Linked DNA regions of Oryzias latipes. The protein of the gene in region 3 purifies or fractionates together with the protein of the main gene of each other region. This does not show direct contact. Links are inferred from orthologs where the notes say so. Each region holds a gene or a part of one and is shown on either strand. Other genes may lie near its edges.

Evidence for each region. The genes of interacting proteins can lie anywhere in the genome.
Region 1: the proteins of heat shock protein beta-1 (region 3) and tgfb1i1 purify together in Homo sapiens (affinity purification with western blotting; 3 studies listed by BioGRID). This does not show direct contact. The link is inferred for Oryzias latipes from reciprocal best matches to the Homo sapiens genes HSPB1 and TGFB1I1.
Region 2: the proteins of heat shock protein beta-1 (region 3) and death domain-associated protein 6 purify together in Homo sapiens (affinity purification with western blotting; 3 studies listed by BioGRID and IntAct, with this or other methods). This does not show direct contact. The link is inferred for Oryzias latipes from reciprocal best matches to the Homo sapiens genes HSPB1 and DAXX.

The regions. Positions count from the first base shown.
Region 1 is NC_019877.2:7,459,284-7,464,644, reverse strand, and holds the start of tgfb1i1 (transforming growth factor beta-1-induced transcript 1 protein), read right to left. Parts: upstream 3,096-5,361; 5' UTR 2,860-3,095; coding exon 2,847-2,859; intron 1-2,846. UniProt on the Homo sapiens protein: Functions as a molecular adapter coordinating multiple protein-protein interactions at the focal adhesion complex and in the nucleus. Links various intracellular signaling modules to plasma membrane receptors and regulates the Wnt and TGFB signaling pathways.
Region 2 is NC_019869.2:16,000,146-16,005,634, reverse strand, and holds the start of death domain-associated protein 6, read right to left. Parts: upstream 3,096-5,489; 5' UTR 2,794-3,095; intron 1,439-2,793; 5' UTR 1,411-1,438; coding exon 1,168-1,410; intron 805-1,167; coding exon 403-804; intron 284-402; coding exon 152-283; intron 80-151; coding exon 1-79. UniProt on the Homo sapiens protein: Transcription corepressor known to repress transcriptional potential of several sumoylated transcription factors. Down-regulates basal and activated transcription.
Region 3 is NC_019870.2:13,681,667-13,685,936, forward strand, and holds heat shock protein beta-1, read right to left. Parts: upstream 2,296-4,270; 5' UTR 2,103-2,295; coding exon 1,730-2,102; intron 1,661-1,729; coding exon 1,597-1,660; intron 1,505-1,596; coding exon 1,345-1,504; 3' UTR 1,021-1,344; downstream 1-1,020. UniProt on the Homo sapiens protein: Small heat shock protein which functions as a molecular chaperone probably maintaining denatured proteins in a folding-competent state. Plays a role in stress resistance and actin organization.

The DNA.
Region 1 (5,361 bases), on a different chromosome or scaffold from region 3:
TAAACTGTAAGCTTCAGTAAAGGGTGTGAAGTCCAAGAGCAGCCTTCCCCAATCACATTCCTTCAGTTTGGAGCACCGAACGTTATTGCAGTAACACTGCACTACCAGAAAAACACAAGGATAAGAACGTAGAAACCCACTGGTGCAAATAAATCATTAGGTTTTTTTTTATTAATAAATAAAAAATAAGTCAAAAAAGGAAGCACTGTGTTTTCCCAAATAAAAAAGGATCCCATCCTCAAAGCACAGTGAGGGTTGTATCATGGTTTGGATTTTTATTTTTATTTTTTTCAGACTGCAGTATCTCTAAAATATTAAATAAATAATTGATTATTCTTTTGTTTTCCAGTACTCCTAGAGGAAATGATGCATATCTTATTCACCTCAGAAAAAGGTTTTGCAGACAAAAGCCTTTAGTCACAAGATCAACAAATTCTGATCAAAGTAGATCACTTACAGCAACTATAGCACCACTTTCAAACCATTTTCTTTCTTAGAGCAAAGGTATTTTGAGCTATAAACTTCCGAATGTGATTAGGATTGGCCGACATGATTTTGAAACCAAAATAATATTAATGAAAAAATGAATCGGGGTAGTAATCAAATAGTAATCATTTTGAAAACATTTATTATATTCTGCCATGTGCATTAGGGGTCTCACAGAGGCACTTTTTTTATTTATTTTTTAGAATTTTCATTTATTTTGCAGCATCTTTAGACATTTTTTGGGAAATTAATATGTAAATGACTGGTTTATTTAAAAAAAAAAAGCTTAATTGTTCAATAATTACCAAAAGATCAAAAAGGGAAAAGACCACTTTGAATAATTATTTATAATAATAAGACCACTGAACATGACTTGTTCCATGACAAAAGAAAAAAGTTTAACTAAATGTTTTTCTCTGGTCAAATTCTTTATGGCATTACAAATTAATGCACCAGAATCTTGATTTGTTGTTATTTTGGGGTTAAATTCATAGTTTTTTGACAATGACAGGGTCAAAATAAAAAAACAAAAACAAATGGACTCTTTTTCCTTGCTTTGTAATTTTAGGTAATGTGGGGAAAAGTAACAGGAACTTTTTGAGCTTTATTCTAAAAATGGCTTAAGGGATTAATAAACTTCCATCCATCCATCTTCAGTACCCACTGAGACCCTTTTAGGGTCACGGGGTCGCTGGAGCCCACTGAGCTACTGTTGGGGGAAAAGTTATTTACATGCACACCTTTAGGGACAATTTAGAGGCACCGATTCACCTCCAACCATGTGTTGGGGCCGTGGGAGGAACGCCCAGAGAAAACCCACACATGCAGGAGGAGAACATGCAAACTTCACACAGAAAGGTCCCAGCCTGGATTTGTACTACTAGGGCATTCTTGTGAGAGTGCTAACCACCGTGCAGCCCAGACAATTACTTTTTATTCCAAAAGTGAAACTAATAAAACTTTTCTTCCTCTTTTTGCAAAGAGGGCCAGATTCGGAGAGGTGAACATGTGTGGGGGCCAGCATTCTTTGAACTCTCATAACAACATGACATGCAAATTAACAATGTAATTAAAATGTTTTGAGACATTTTACTTCATCACATAAAACAGAAATATTTCTACATATATATTTACCCAAATTACAGTAAATTTCATATTTGGAGACCAGAAATATTTACTTTTTTTATGACAGAAGCCTGTGGACAAGTAGTCCATGGCCCGAACTTTGGACATGCCTCCTCAACAATTCTATTCCACTGTTAGTTCGTTTATCAAACAATCCAATCTGCTCGGACTCCAGTTCCTTTCATCCAACTGTGACGCTGACCATCTGAAATGTCTCTGGCCATCGCTGACGCTCTCTTTTCTGTGAACATTACTCACTCGGTGTGACAGACCTGAACGTAAGCAGCATTGTGGTCATCTCTGCCAAAGATGATTCACATGTCTGTTTCGACAGCGTGTTGAAAATACTGCAGATATATTTCCCTCCGTCTTCCTGCCTGCTGAGTGTGTGTTTCTCTTCCACACACGCAGACTTGGACAGACGGCACATATAAGGAGTTGAACTTGGAAATTATGACCATATTTAGAACTGCTTCCCGACTTGTTTGTCTTGGCCGAGGGCTTTTCTCCGACAAGAGGTCCCACTCATTTTTAGGCCTCGCCAGATGCAGCCACATAAACTTACAACATGGCCAAACAACAGCAGGAACCCAGCCTGTGGGCCCAAACACTCAGCCAGTCCCCCTCTTGGTGAGATCTGATCCAGATGTGCCCAGATATGCATCTTTGCCATGTTGCTTGAGTGCCTGACGTCTAAGATGGACTTCATGATGGAATGGGCAGCAGGAAAAGCTTTTCTGTTTTTTCCCCCTCAAATAGTAGTTTATTTTAGTCTTTTATGAAGGGGAAAAATATGCTCCTTAATGGAAGACACCCTGTTATACATTATGTTCTGTCCATCCCTGACTTGATAATTAATGGATTATGGATTCCCTTCAATCTAATTTTCAAAGATGTGATTAGATTTGCAGGCGGTGCTGGAGAAACAGATGTAAAGTAATGCACAGGTCCACGTCTTGTGTGTCTTTTAGGGGTAAACACACACTTTCCACACAGTAATTAGTCCAAAGTGCAGTTTGAGACAAATTTTCCTTGCTCTTTTGTCTGAAAATGGCATAAAACCCTGAAGCCCTGCGTGTTATTGCGGGGAAAGGAGCTGTGCTGTGCGCCTGCCAGGAGCAACAGAGAGCTGATTTCCTCTGGTTGGGCGCTCCAGTCCTCCCCGCAGATCCCTCCAAGATTTCCTAAACGTGTAGTTGGAAAAAGATGGACGGAGAAACAGCTGGATCACTCACCCAAATCCTCCATGATCTGCGCTCCGCCGGCGGTTCTGTCCTGTGTGTAGCGCAGCAGGGACAGCGTGGAGAGGCTGCATGAACGCAGCTCTGACAGCCTCTCTCTCTCTGCGCCTTTTGTCTGGAGAACTTCTTGAAAACCGTTATCCGCCAAGAAACTGGAGGAGGAGGAAGAGGAGGAAGAAAAGAGGAGGAGGAGGAGGAGGGCGTCCCGTCTCGTTCTCCCTTTCTCTTCCCGTGTAAATGCCTAGAGGCTGGCTGGAGAGGGCGTAGCAGAAGAAAATGCGGTTCCACACCCGCAGACGTCAAACGACATTCCTGCTCCATGTTTGGGATAAAGAATTGTTCAGGAAAACTCAGCTTTAATGACGTATCCAGTCAAAACACTCAACTAATAGCTGAAATAAAGAGGAAATTCCACTCCGGCTATTTGCCCTTTTCCCTGACTTATGGCTGTTTTAAGGGGAAGTGGGAGAAACACAAACATGGAGATAGAATGCATTTTTAGCTTAATGCCAAGGGCGGATACAGGCATGTGCAAGGAGGGCAATACCCCCAAATGCCTGCTGCCCCCCCTTACAAATGTGATTAACAAAAATAAAAAATAAAAACAAAACAAAAAAACATCAACAATTAACTAAAAAAACAAAAAAAATAACAAATGGGGTGGACTTACCATAAGGCAAAGGTGCCTGGGGCCCAAAGCTGAACAATTATAAAGATACATTTTAAGCCCATCATTAATTAACTGTAACTAAGAAAACCCAAATCACTGAAATGGCATAAGACTGCTCATGTGAAAGTGCTTCGTGTTTCCCTGTTCCTCTGCATCAGTGGAATATTCATTAACAGGAAGTTAGCGAGCAGAGACCCTTTATCTATCTATCTATCTATCTATCTATCTATCTATCTATCTATCTATCTATCTATCTATCTATCTATCTATCTATCTATCTGTCTGTCTGTCTGTCTGTCTGTCTGTCTGTCTGTCTGTCTGTCTGTCTGTCTGTCTGTCTGTCTGTCTGTCTGTCTGTCTGTCTGTCTGTCTGTCTATCTATCTATCTATCTATCTATCTATCTATCTATCTGTCTATCTATAGATATATGAAAACCACCTTACACAAAAACAATGTAAGTTAAACATCAAAACTGTTGTGCAGAGAAAAAGGACAAAACAGGAACAAAAAGAACAGAATCAAGGGAAGATAAAGAAAGTCAAGAATAAAAAAAAGCAACAAAACAGGACAGAAAAGGCCACGGGAGGGGCAGAAAATAGACTTCCTCAGAATTTTCTTTATTCTTTGATTGACACCACTTCATAGGGTATGTTATGTTCCATAATTTAAGTAATTTTTCCTTCTTTAGTCAAATCTGACAAAATAAAGAAAAGACAGAAGACCCTCATTTGTTCCCACCAGAATGTGGGTGTAACAAGTGAGTCTTTTCAATAAATTCAATGTTTGTTTCCAAGTAAAAATTGATTTTAGTTTTCAAATACGCATCAAAATATTTGAATTCTTGATGTCTAAAAGTTGACCAGGGAAGAAGTTATTCAAAAACGTTTAACCCCACAGTCACAGCCCCTTTCACCCGTCCACACACTGATGGCAGCTCTGCTGCCAAACACTGGCGCCAACCTATAACCACCAGGAACAATGTGGTGTTCATGTCTTGCCCAAGGACACCCGGGCGGGCAAGGCATGAACTGAATCTGTGATCGTCCAATCAGCCGCCGACAGCTCTTCCAGTGCACTGCGGCTGCCCAAAAAATATAGAGGGACAGACAGACAACAAATAGACAACAAATGCAGCCTTACGACGTATCTCAAGCTCTGCTTGTGCCTGTCCAAAGCCCGGTAAATGCAAAGTGTATGTTTTCAGGAGGATCATTGAACATTCAATAAGATTTCCAAGACGCATCAAATAGATTAAAAGAAATGTATATGTTGATAAATTGTCGTGGTTTTCAAGGCATTTTTTGGGGCTTGGAGGGATATGACACCCCAAAACTCTCAGTACACCCAAACCTTCCCCCCTGTGATAGTACAGCTGCACCCCACAGTCGGCTTAATCTGCCTTACTTAGGCTATTATGTGAAGGACTACATTTTACTACTCAAAATCATATCATTTAGTGGTTTTACTTTATAAGAGTATACATTGGGTCAACCATACTCACCTCTGATGTCAGTGAAAACCATGAACTCTTCTTTGCAACGTGTTTTTTTTTTTTTTTGTAGAAAACATTAAACAATATTTACATTTTGGGATGTTTTAGCCCAAATAATGTATCACGAGTATCAACATTTATCAAGGTGACATATCAACATTCCATTAAATATGACAAGAAAATTTGTTTTTTTAAGCACCATTAAAATGAAACCGTATGATTTTAAACCTTCACCATTTACTTCCTTGAATAATAAAATACAATTAGAAGCACATCTATCTTGTTTGAGCACCTTTCTTTAGGGCACTTTTACCTGAAAACTGCATATACAACTTGAATGTTATTA
Region 2 (5,489 bases), on a different chromosome or scaffold from region 3:
CGATCCTCTCCTCAATGGCTCGGCCCGTTAACGTGTTGCAGCCCTTCAGTTCACACAGCTTTTCATAGATCTTCATCAACTGGGAAAGAAATGAATGCCTGTTACCAAACACCGTTTGACCTTTTGTTCCACAATCAGATGTGCATCAGACCTTCCGCTTCAGCTTGTGCTCCTGGATGTAGATGGAGTCTTCAGCTTCCAAGTCATTCAGGCTAAGCTCAGTTTGCTGCAGACGGAAGATCTCATCGTTGTAAACCTTTAGGAGATTCTCCAGGTACGCGATCTGAGAGGGAGACATGTGCTCCAGATATTTAGTCTGGCATCGTCTGATTTCAGGAATAAAACAAGTACAGGATTAACACTGACTGTCTTTTTTTTTTTAGGTTTATTGTCTGTACCGACCTGTTTCCTTGAGGCCCTTTTAGCTCTTTTTTCCTCTTTTTGATCTTGCTCTTTGTTGTCTTCCTGCACTCCAGAAGTAGAAGGTTGCTCTTCGTCACTCCTCTTCTCACTGTTAGGGGGAACGGAGGTAGACTGAACAGAAGCTGATGTTGAGGTAGAGGGCGCCGCCTTGGAGAGGGTCAGTCTCCTTTTATCCCTGTGCTGTTTGAGCACCGTGCACAGTTCATTGATGAAGACAAAGGTTTTGGAGCGGTTGTTCTGAGCGCGAGTTAGACATCCTTTCAGAGTGTTCCTGAACTCCACAGAGGACAGAAACTCTGGACACGTCTTGGAGTGTTTCAGCTGCAGGTATTCCAGGACCTCCGGGCACTCCTTGGTCTGAGCGGAGCAATGCTCCACAAACTACAGGAAAGACACGAGAGAATCAAACACTGAAGATGAATCATGCAGATCATTACACCTTTCATATTACACCTTTATAAGACTTTTACAAAACAGAAAAAGATTCAATTGTGACTCACAGAGAAAGTCAAACAGATGAACTGTAAAAGCTTTCAACAATTTAACATCTTAAATGTTTCTAACAATCTATTCCGAAGCACATAAAAACATATTTTATCACAAAATATTAAGGAAAAAAACAGTAGATATCAGCAATATTAGCACAAACAAAAACCTGCTGGGTGTTAAAATATTCTTTATTTTAGAAGTTGAAGAAGACCACAGAAGAGAGGGTGGGCTCAGTAAAAACCTGAAGCAGCTCACCTCAGAGAACAGTTTCTGATTCTCAGCTAGAAGACCCTGAGCTTCCTTCTTCCCTGAGACTTGGTGACTTGGGGACATGGCGGCGTGCACGGCCACCAAGTGCTGACCTTTGGGCGGTAAGGCGTTTCTGGAGCCATGATCAGAGGAGGGAGTAGTAGCGGAAAAAGAGGGCTGGGGGCTGTCCTCGTTGTCTTCATCCAGAACTATGATCTCATCTCCCATTGAGGCAGGAGCCACCGCCATCTAAACCCTGACGGATTCTGCTGTGAATCTGCAAACAGGAAAAACACGCTGGTCGTGACAAAAGGTACAGAAGCAAGACGTGGAAGGATTATTGATTTCAAAAATCTATTCATATATTAGTAAATATTGGGGGGTCAGTGGTGAAAAACATTTTTCACAACTTATTTCCTACTGTTTAGTCCTTGTTACAAAAACCAGCAACTAATAATTTATCAGGGGTCCAAAAAAATCAATTTATATAAAAAAATCTATTACTAATTGGCTTATTTTATTTTAAATGTTTATAAACAAACCCATAGAGCCTGAATGGAAGCACAGTTGTCTGTCCAATGAAAACCACAGATATGAACACATGATTATGTTGGTAAAAAGGTATAAAATTCATCAGGAATAAAAAAACGTTGTTTCTGGTAAACGTTGTCAGTTTCTCTTCGTGGTGTGGACTCTACTGTTTTTGCCCTTTTCACGAGTGACCAAAACACAAGACGTCCAATCACAAGCCTGCTTCTATCAATGAAAACTAACTGAACCACAATAAATAAGTGGGATGTTGTGTGCACAAAACTAGCCCTCCTTTTTCCCAGCACCTCTAACAATGTATGAATAAATGAATATGAGATGTTTTAACCATAAAGAACAGAACAGTCTAGAAGGCCCTAAATGCAGGTTTGAATCGTGGAAGCTGTTGAATTTATAGTTCTAAATGTCAAATGAATAATAAAAATCTAGATTTTATTCATTAAAGGATTGGACTGTATTGCCACAAAGCTAGTTATATATTTTACAGATGAAAATCTCAACGCATGGGTCATGATGTACTGAGATGCTGAGAGAGAAAGATACACAACACGGTATCTGGTGAGAATGTGGACAAAAACGTCTCACAGTGAAACAGGATTATTAAAGATCCAAAAAGATAAAAACACTGCAATAATAATCGTCCACACGGCTGCAATGCTGACCTGAAAATACCGAGATGCAGACAAAGAAATGGCACTTTTCTGTTGCCTGATCGACACAAATTAGACTTATTTTTAAGACGAAAATGCTCGGAATGCAAAAATGAAATGGCTCGACGACAAATAGCACTGATGTCTATTTTGCTTTTGATTATTCAACATTAAAAAAAATCTGTCTAGTAGCCTTATCTGATTTACATCAACTTTAATTACCAAAATTTTTTCCTGTTTACTTTTACATCCTGAGTCTGTCTCTCTCGTAGTTTTCTGGTCAACGAAAAAAAATGAAGGCGAATATTCAACAGAACTTAATCTAAAGTGAAAACAAAAGGAAATTTTGTAAAAACTGATCACAAAACATGGCAGATACGGTGCTTATAATTCTGAGAAAACACGACTGGGTGCATATTATTAAAACACTCACCTTTTATTCAGGAACAATAGAAACGTAAATGTTGCTCTTCAGGAACGCACAGCAGTTTTTAAGCTAAGATTAGCAACAGAGCAGCTACTGTAACTTTTCTTGTAAATCCAAACGGAATATAGGAAAAACGGCATGATTTCCTGGTTATTTAACTAACAGATTAAAGTTATTAATACTTCATGGATGCGTTTTTTAGGATAGCAAAGTCTTTTGGCTAATTTAGATCTCGTAAATTTAGCTCCACGAACTGCTAGAAACCGAAAATGTGCCCGCGACACTCAGACCAATGCCAAGGCCTCTCATTGGTGGAAAGAATAAAGATCCAGTAAAAATGTCTGCTATTGGCCAGAGTGGAAGACAACAACACTACGTCTTCTTCTACGGATCTTCCGTTACGATTTGTGAGTACACTCTCCAACAAAACAGACATTTAGTGGAAAAAACAGTGAACTGCAGAGTGTCTGAGCGCTCTAGATCAGTGTTTTTCAACCTTTTTAGAGCCAAAGCACGCTTTATCCTTGACAAAAATCCCGCGGCACATCAGCATCCAACTCATAGTCTGCATGATGTACAGTCCCTCCGCAATCTCACATGCATTTTTGTGATGATTGTGGCAGAAAAAGCTGGAAGTTGCAGCTGTTTTTTCTAAAAGATGTAATAAAAGTATGTCTATTATTTAGCTGCCTACGTAAGCTGCAGTTGTTTTAGCTTTAAATTTCCTCTATTCTAGATTATTTTCTTGCATTCAGACTCCTCATTTGTAGGGCATAATAAAGTGATTTTTAAACCTGGTTAATACCATTACATGTCACACATTTGTTCTCTGCATTTGACTGTGAGCAGCAGACACAACCGTACACAGGAACTGGATTGGATTCACCCCCTTAATGCTGAGTGTCAATTTTTAGAGTCTGTGGTATGACTCGGCCTAGATTTGAATTTACGACGTTCCAGTCATAGGGCAGACACTCTACCACAAGGCCACTGAGCTGGTTAAAACATGGTTAATCATGATGCATATTATGTCCAAATGTAAGAAGAGTTAACTTGGAGAACCACGCCATCAAGTATAATAAACGTTTAGAAATGGACAGATAAAGCACAATTAAAATGACTTCTTACAACCTTTTATTTTTGGAATTTTTACAACAATTTTGTCAACATTTCAGCAGAACTTTGACAAACACACAAAAAAAGACAGACATTCATTAATTGTAATACAATGTACAAATATTCTGGGCTTCCTATTTACAAACGTGCTTTACTTTATTAATTAGGACAGTTGTTTTGCATCTTCAGTGAAACATATTTCTCAAAAAACAAAACAAAACACAGCCTCCAGTCACAGTTTAGAAATCCCCAAAGTGAAACTTGAAGCGTTCTTTCGGTTTTTATGATGTCATGCTTTCAAGATAAGAACATTAAAAGAAAGGGGTGGTCAAATAATTTTCTGTAAAAATGGTACGGTCCAAACCAGCAACCAATCAACCAAAGGCACCAAAGAGCTGGACAGCTGCACATGAAACCCCATCAGAAGTATGAGACACCTTGATGATTTAGTGACAAACGTCTGCTTTGTCATCACTTATCCTGTTGTGAGAGAAATAACAGATGTTATTCACAAGAGTGAAAGACTGTTAACATTTACGTAAATAAATGAGTGAACTTGCCTTGTTGGGTTTAGCAGCCTCATCAGATCCTGAAAACAACGAGTGGAGAAGTCAGGAATGTCTATTTACACCAAAAACTCCCATATGACGGCACATTTAAAACATATTCAATATTTCAGTGAACAATGATGTTGTCTTGGTACCTGAGCTGGTAAAAGTCCATGAAGCAAACTTAATGAGGCCGTAGAGCACCAAGGCCACACCCACCATCGCCATGGAGTCCTCGATGGACGGCGAGCTGAACCCTTCAGGTAAAACCAAAAACACTTTTCAACACTTTTGCTATGAAGGTAAACTCACAAACCCGTCATTCAAATAATTCAACATTTCCATACGTTATATGTTCAGCTCTTTATTGAAAAATGTTAGAATCCAAATAATTCAGAGCGTGTGACGATAAAAGTGAGGTTACCGATCACACTGAGGGTCACGCTGGCCCGCCGCGTGCCGCCACGGTGAACAGCGACGCAGCTGATCTCCCCCCCTCTGCCCAGGTCCAGCTTGGACGTGTCCAGCTGCAGCCGGGTGCTCTGGCTGTAGGTGCCGTCCCAGGCCTGCCGGTGACCCGACATGCTGCCCGACCCCAGGGACCGGCTCTTCCCATCTGCCCCTCTGAACTCCCAGCTCAGGTCTACCGGGAGAGGGACGAAGCCGGAGGCTTCACACTGGATGTTCAAAACCTGACCCGGGACGGCGAGGGGGAGGGGGGACGGGTGGATGGAGAGGGATGGAGGTTCTAGACAAACATGGAAACAAAAAAGCGCATATGGTTCTCCATCAACAGAATCTTTTTTTTCCATCAGGAATGTCTTTTCGATCCTTCCTCTCACCTACGACCTCCAGCTCCATGGCCACCTGAGCCAGCAGGTACGGCAGGAACACTGAGCAGATATACGTCCCAGAATGCTGCACTTTGGTCTCCTGCAGGATCAGCGACGCGTTTCCTCTCTCGTGCAGAGCCTCAAAGTCCAGCGTGGCCCCCTCCTCTAAAGTGTCAGCCAGACGGTCCGTCTTACCATCATAGGC
Region 3 (4,270 bases):
CATCCATTTCTGGAGGATCTTCCAAGCTGTGCAAAACATGAAATGATTCTCCTGACGTTTTTCAATTTCATGTAATGCTCCTTTTTTAACAGTAGATGTCACCGTTGTGCTTTTGATTGGCTATTCCTTGATTAGCCCTTGTGCTATCTTAGATGACCCCACCCTTACATTGACGTGTTCTTCCTACCATAACAAAAGTGGGTAAAGGTGGAAAGATTTCATGTAATCCATCACAAATCATTGAAGAAAAAAGGTTCAGCGCACTGTCTGGTGGGTCTAGATGACCCATCTCCCAATGTTAAAGTGCCTAGGATAGCACAAGGGTTAGATTAGTTTGTTGCGTCACTTGCACTGATCTTTTTCTTTTCATAGTAAAAAAATAATAAATAGTTAATGTAGAATATTTTTTATTATTTTTTTATTATTTATTAGGAACTGATAATGACCTTATGGTGTTGTATAGATAATTTGCTAAAATCAAGATCAGCATAAATAGTGAACTTTGACCTTTTGTACTTAAAGAGAACTTTAAAGGGGGGGGAAAGAGCAAAACTAATTTAATTTTAAGTTTGTCTTTTTATTAATATTAGATTTGTTTTATTTTTGTTTTATATAACTTTGGAGTGCTGTCTCCATTTCCCCCAAATTAAGGTAGAGTTTTTAAGAGGTAAAAAAATTAAGTTAAGTCTTTAAATCTTTATTAAATTTGCAGTTAAAACTGTTTTACAAGGTAATGATATAATATTTTCAGAAACCTCGTACAAACAATATCATACTTCACACCGTTTTAAATTTAGTAACAGTAAATTTTTGCTGCACAGCTACAAAAAGACTTTTTTTGTCTATTCTTTTTTCCGTGTCCTTGCCTAAAATATTGATCCTTACAATATACTGTTAGTTATTATGGGTTGTAAAAAATTGGTGACCTCTGACCTGTTTTTAGGTGTAAGTTTTCATGTTAAAAAAAAGTTTGAGCTGCAAGAATGAATATTGTGACAAAACCACAATCTGTGAAAGAAATGTATTTTTACCAAATTTTATTTCTGTTTCATTGTGAAGGCTGAAATTGCATAATACAATCATTCTACAAGAACAGTAAGATAAAGACCAGTTTATAGTAAACAAAATTTTAGTGCAAAATTACAAAATTAAAAAGGACAGCAAGGGTTTGTTTTATTGGATCCAATACCATTTCTGCTTTTTATTAAGTTTAAATTAGATTATAAAAGTCTCAAATCTCCCAAAAAGCAAATGATAACATTAAATTTAAGCAATCTAGTCTGCTTTGTGTAATTTTAATAATTGCTGCTATGCACAGTTTGAGCTACTTTCTGCTCACTATGTTCATTTCTCACTGTCCTGTGTCTTTTTGGTCTGAACGGGGATGACGATCTCATTGTCCGGGCTGCTGATGGATGTTCCTGGGACGGGAGCTTCTACGGACAACATTCCTTCTGAGGACAGGGATGAGCTGATGTGCTGCAGATTCACCCCTTGTGGTAACCTCGAAAAAAATGAGAGAACGTTTGTCACAAACAGAAATATGTTACGGTCGCATCCTAAATGTGTCTCGAATTTGCTTCTCAGCCTCCTTACTTGTATTTACGAGTGAAACATCTTGAAACCAAACTGTGTTCATCTTGCTTTTCTTCATGAGTTCCTTAAAAAAAACAGTAATTATTAATAAACATCTTTATGTATAAAATGAAAAAAAATTAAGCCTACGTACCTGATATTTGCAAGTAGCCATCCTTTGTGCTGATGGAGATCTCTTCGGGTGAAAAATGATTGACGTCCAGGTTGATCTTCCAGCTGTTTTGCCCCGTTCTCACCTCAGACACACCGCTAGTCAGTTGTCTCAGACTCTTCTGGTCCGGCGTGATGGGAGGCAGGAGGGGGCTTTGCGTGTAACCCGGCCAGGAGAAAGAAGCCAGTCTCTTTTTTGCCCAGTCAAGCCAGTCCAGATCATTGGGCTCCAGGAAAGGAGGAATGCCGAAGTCCTGGGCAAAAATACGGCTTGGCTGAGTCCAGTTTGGGAAAGGATCCCAGCGGACATCTCGACGGAATATGGGCCGGGATAGTGTTTTATTTTGATCACCCATGTGGTTCAAAACTCAAGAAAAGGAGACTGAAAATAAAAGCTCTTGCTCCCACCTGACAGAAAAATGCAAGACGAGATCAGACCAACCAAAACGAAACTCAAAAACTGTAAGTAAGCAGGAGGTTTGGGGAAAAGCCTATTTTGGAGTCCGCAGCAATCCACTCACACGCTTTATATAACCAACGGCCTCCTCTTCACACTTGTGCTTTAACAAGTGTGATGTAAGGGATGAAATGTGATGGGCCGGGGCGTCAACTCTCCTGTTGCCCTGGGACTCGGAGAGGACAATGCCAATTATGTGTATTTATATCTTTTGAGTGTCTCCGGTAAGTTGTTGGGGAATGATTCTGGAAGCAGGGAGAAGTCGTGTCATTCAGCCATGGCCTCTGCAGTCCCGTCACATACTGGAGCTCTTTGTCCACCGAAACCACAGCTGCATGTGAAGCAGCACACAAAAAGTCAAACGGTAAACACAAGCGTTGCTTTTAGCCTCCCAACTTAACTTAAGAGCAAAACTGCAGAGCAAACAGGATCTCAGGGTGAAGAAGATAAAGACGTGTTTACAGCTGGTAAAAACAGATGGAGAGAAAGACTATGGAGTTCTGGAGCTGGTGTGGAATTTCACAGAAACATCTTCATGGGTTCAAAAAATAAACCGAGCTTGAGTGAGATAAATTATCTGAGGAATGGCATTTATCAGGGAGGCAACGTGAATATTTCTGAACTCTGCTCATAAACATTTCATTGTTTATCAGGTTTTAATGTTTGACACACCAGGTTACAACAGACTTGATGTCAGTCTGCTTAAGAATGTTATTAAGCACATGTTAAAAGAAAATATTGCCTGAAGTTTAGCTGTGCTATTGCTAGTTTACTAATGAATATAAAAAAGTCTAAAGTGTGCAATCAATGAAAATATGAGCATAGATCAGTTTAAAGGTGTTTTAGGGTCATCGAAAGGAAAACGCTCTTCAGTTGTAAATCCAAAAATTCTTGGAAATAACCCAGAGTTAATGTGTGTGATAAGAAACCAAATAAAGTGAATATACTGTAACATTTTACTGTAGCTCACAAGTGCATTGGCCTCTGTAAAATAGTGTTATCATCCAGCTAATATGTATTTGTGCATTTGTGTGCAATACTTATGGTTAAGGTTAGGGTCAAAGTAAGGGCAAACTTCACTAAAGTTTATTTTACAAGCTTTGCATAAGTGTCTTAAATTGCAGAGTGTAAAAAAACTGGTAGATATACATATAGCAGCCAGATGCTAATGATGTGATGGATTGGCAATGTGCAAATACCTATTTTGATGTCAAACATTAGATGGAATCCGTTTTTTATCACTTAAAAATTAAAAAGAATACACTTTCTACTAATCAAAAAAAGGCCAAAAAAAAAGCTGGAATTTTAAAGGTTAGTGCATCAATACAATGTTATGATTTTATAAAGGAAATTTTCATTTGAATTTGAACTTCAAACCATCAGAAACTAACTTATTTTATTCTATCCTGTGTTTTGTGTTTTCCCAAAATTCAAAGTCACCAGAAAGTTTAAGTTATTAACAGCCACAGCTGTTTGTTTTGCGGTTAATTAATGGTCTGGTTTTATATTTGGTTTTGTCAGGTCCTGTATTTAAGCACCATTTAGTTTTTGTCTGGACTATATATGATTTTATTTTATGGTTGTTGCTTTAATGGCAGGCTGTTGTATTCATGCCAAAATTCACAAATTCATGTTTTTCGTTTCCTCCTCATGTCAATCTTCTGCATTTAGGCCTTCCACCACCAATTATGATAACTTTCTTGAGGCTTTGGAGCAATTCTTCTGAGTTCAGATGCTTCAAAAAATGAACTCAAAATGTCTGACTTCACTACAAGTAATGATCTTCTTTCAAATTGAAACATGGTTTTTGCTGCAAAAAGTAGTTTTCCTTATCAAATATTCTTGCCGATACAGTTAATATTTTCTCTGAACAGCACCGACATCTTTATGATTGACCCCCTGCTGAAGGGTCACTCGCCACTCCTCGCATCAGTCAGTTATCAGCTGTTGATAACATTTCATGTCAATAAAGAAGAAACTTTAGAAAAAGGGAAACACTAAGCAGTCACATGTAAGATCTCTGCTCATAATGCACAAGGACATTTTTATTCAAAAAAATTTTAAAGC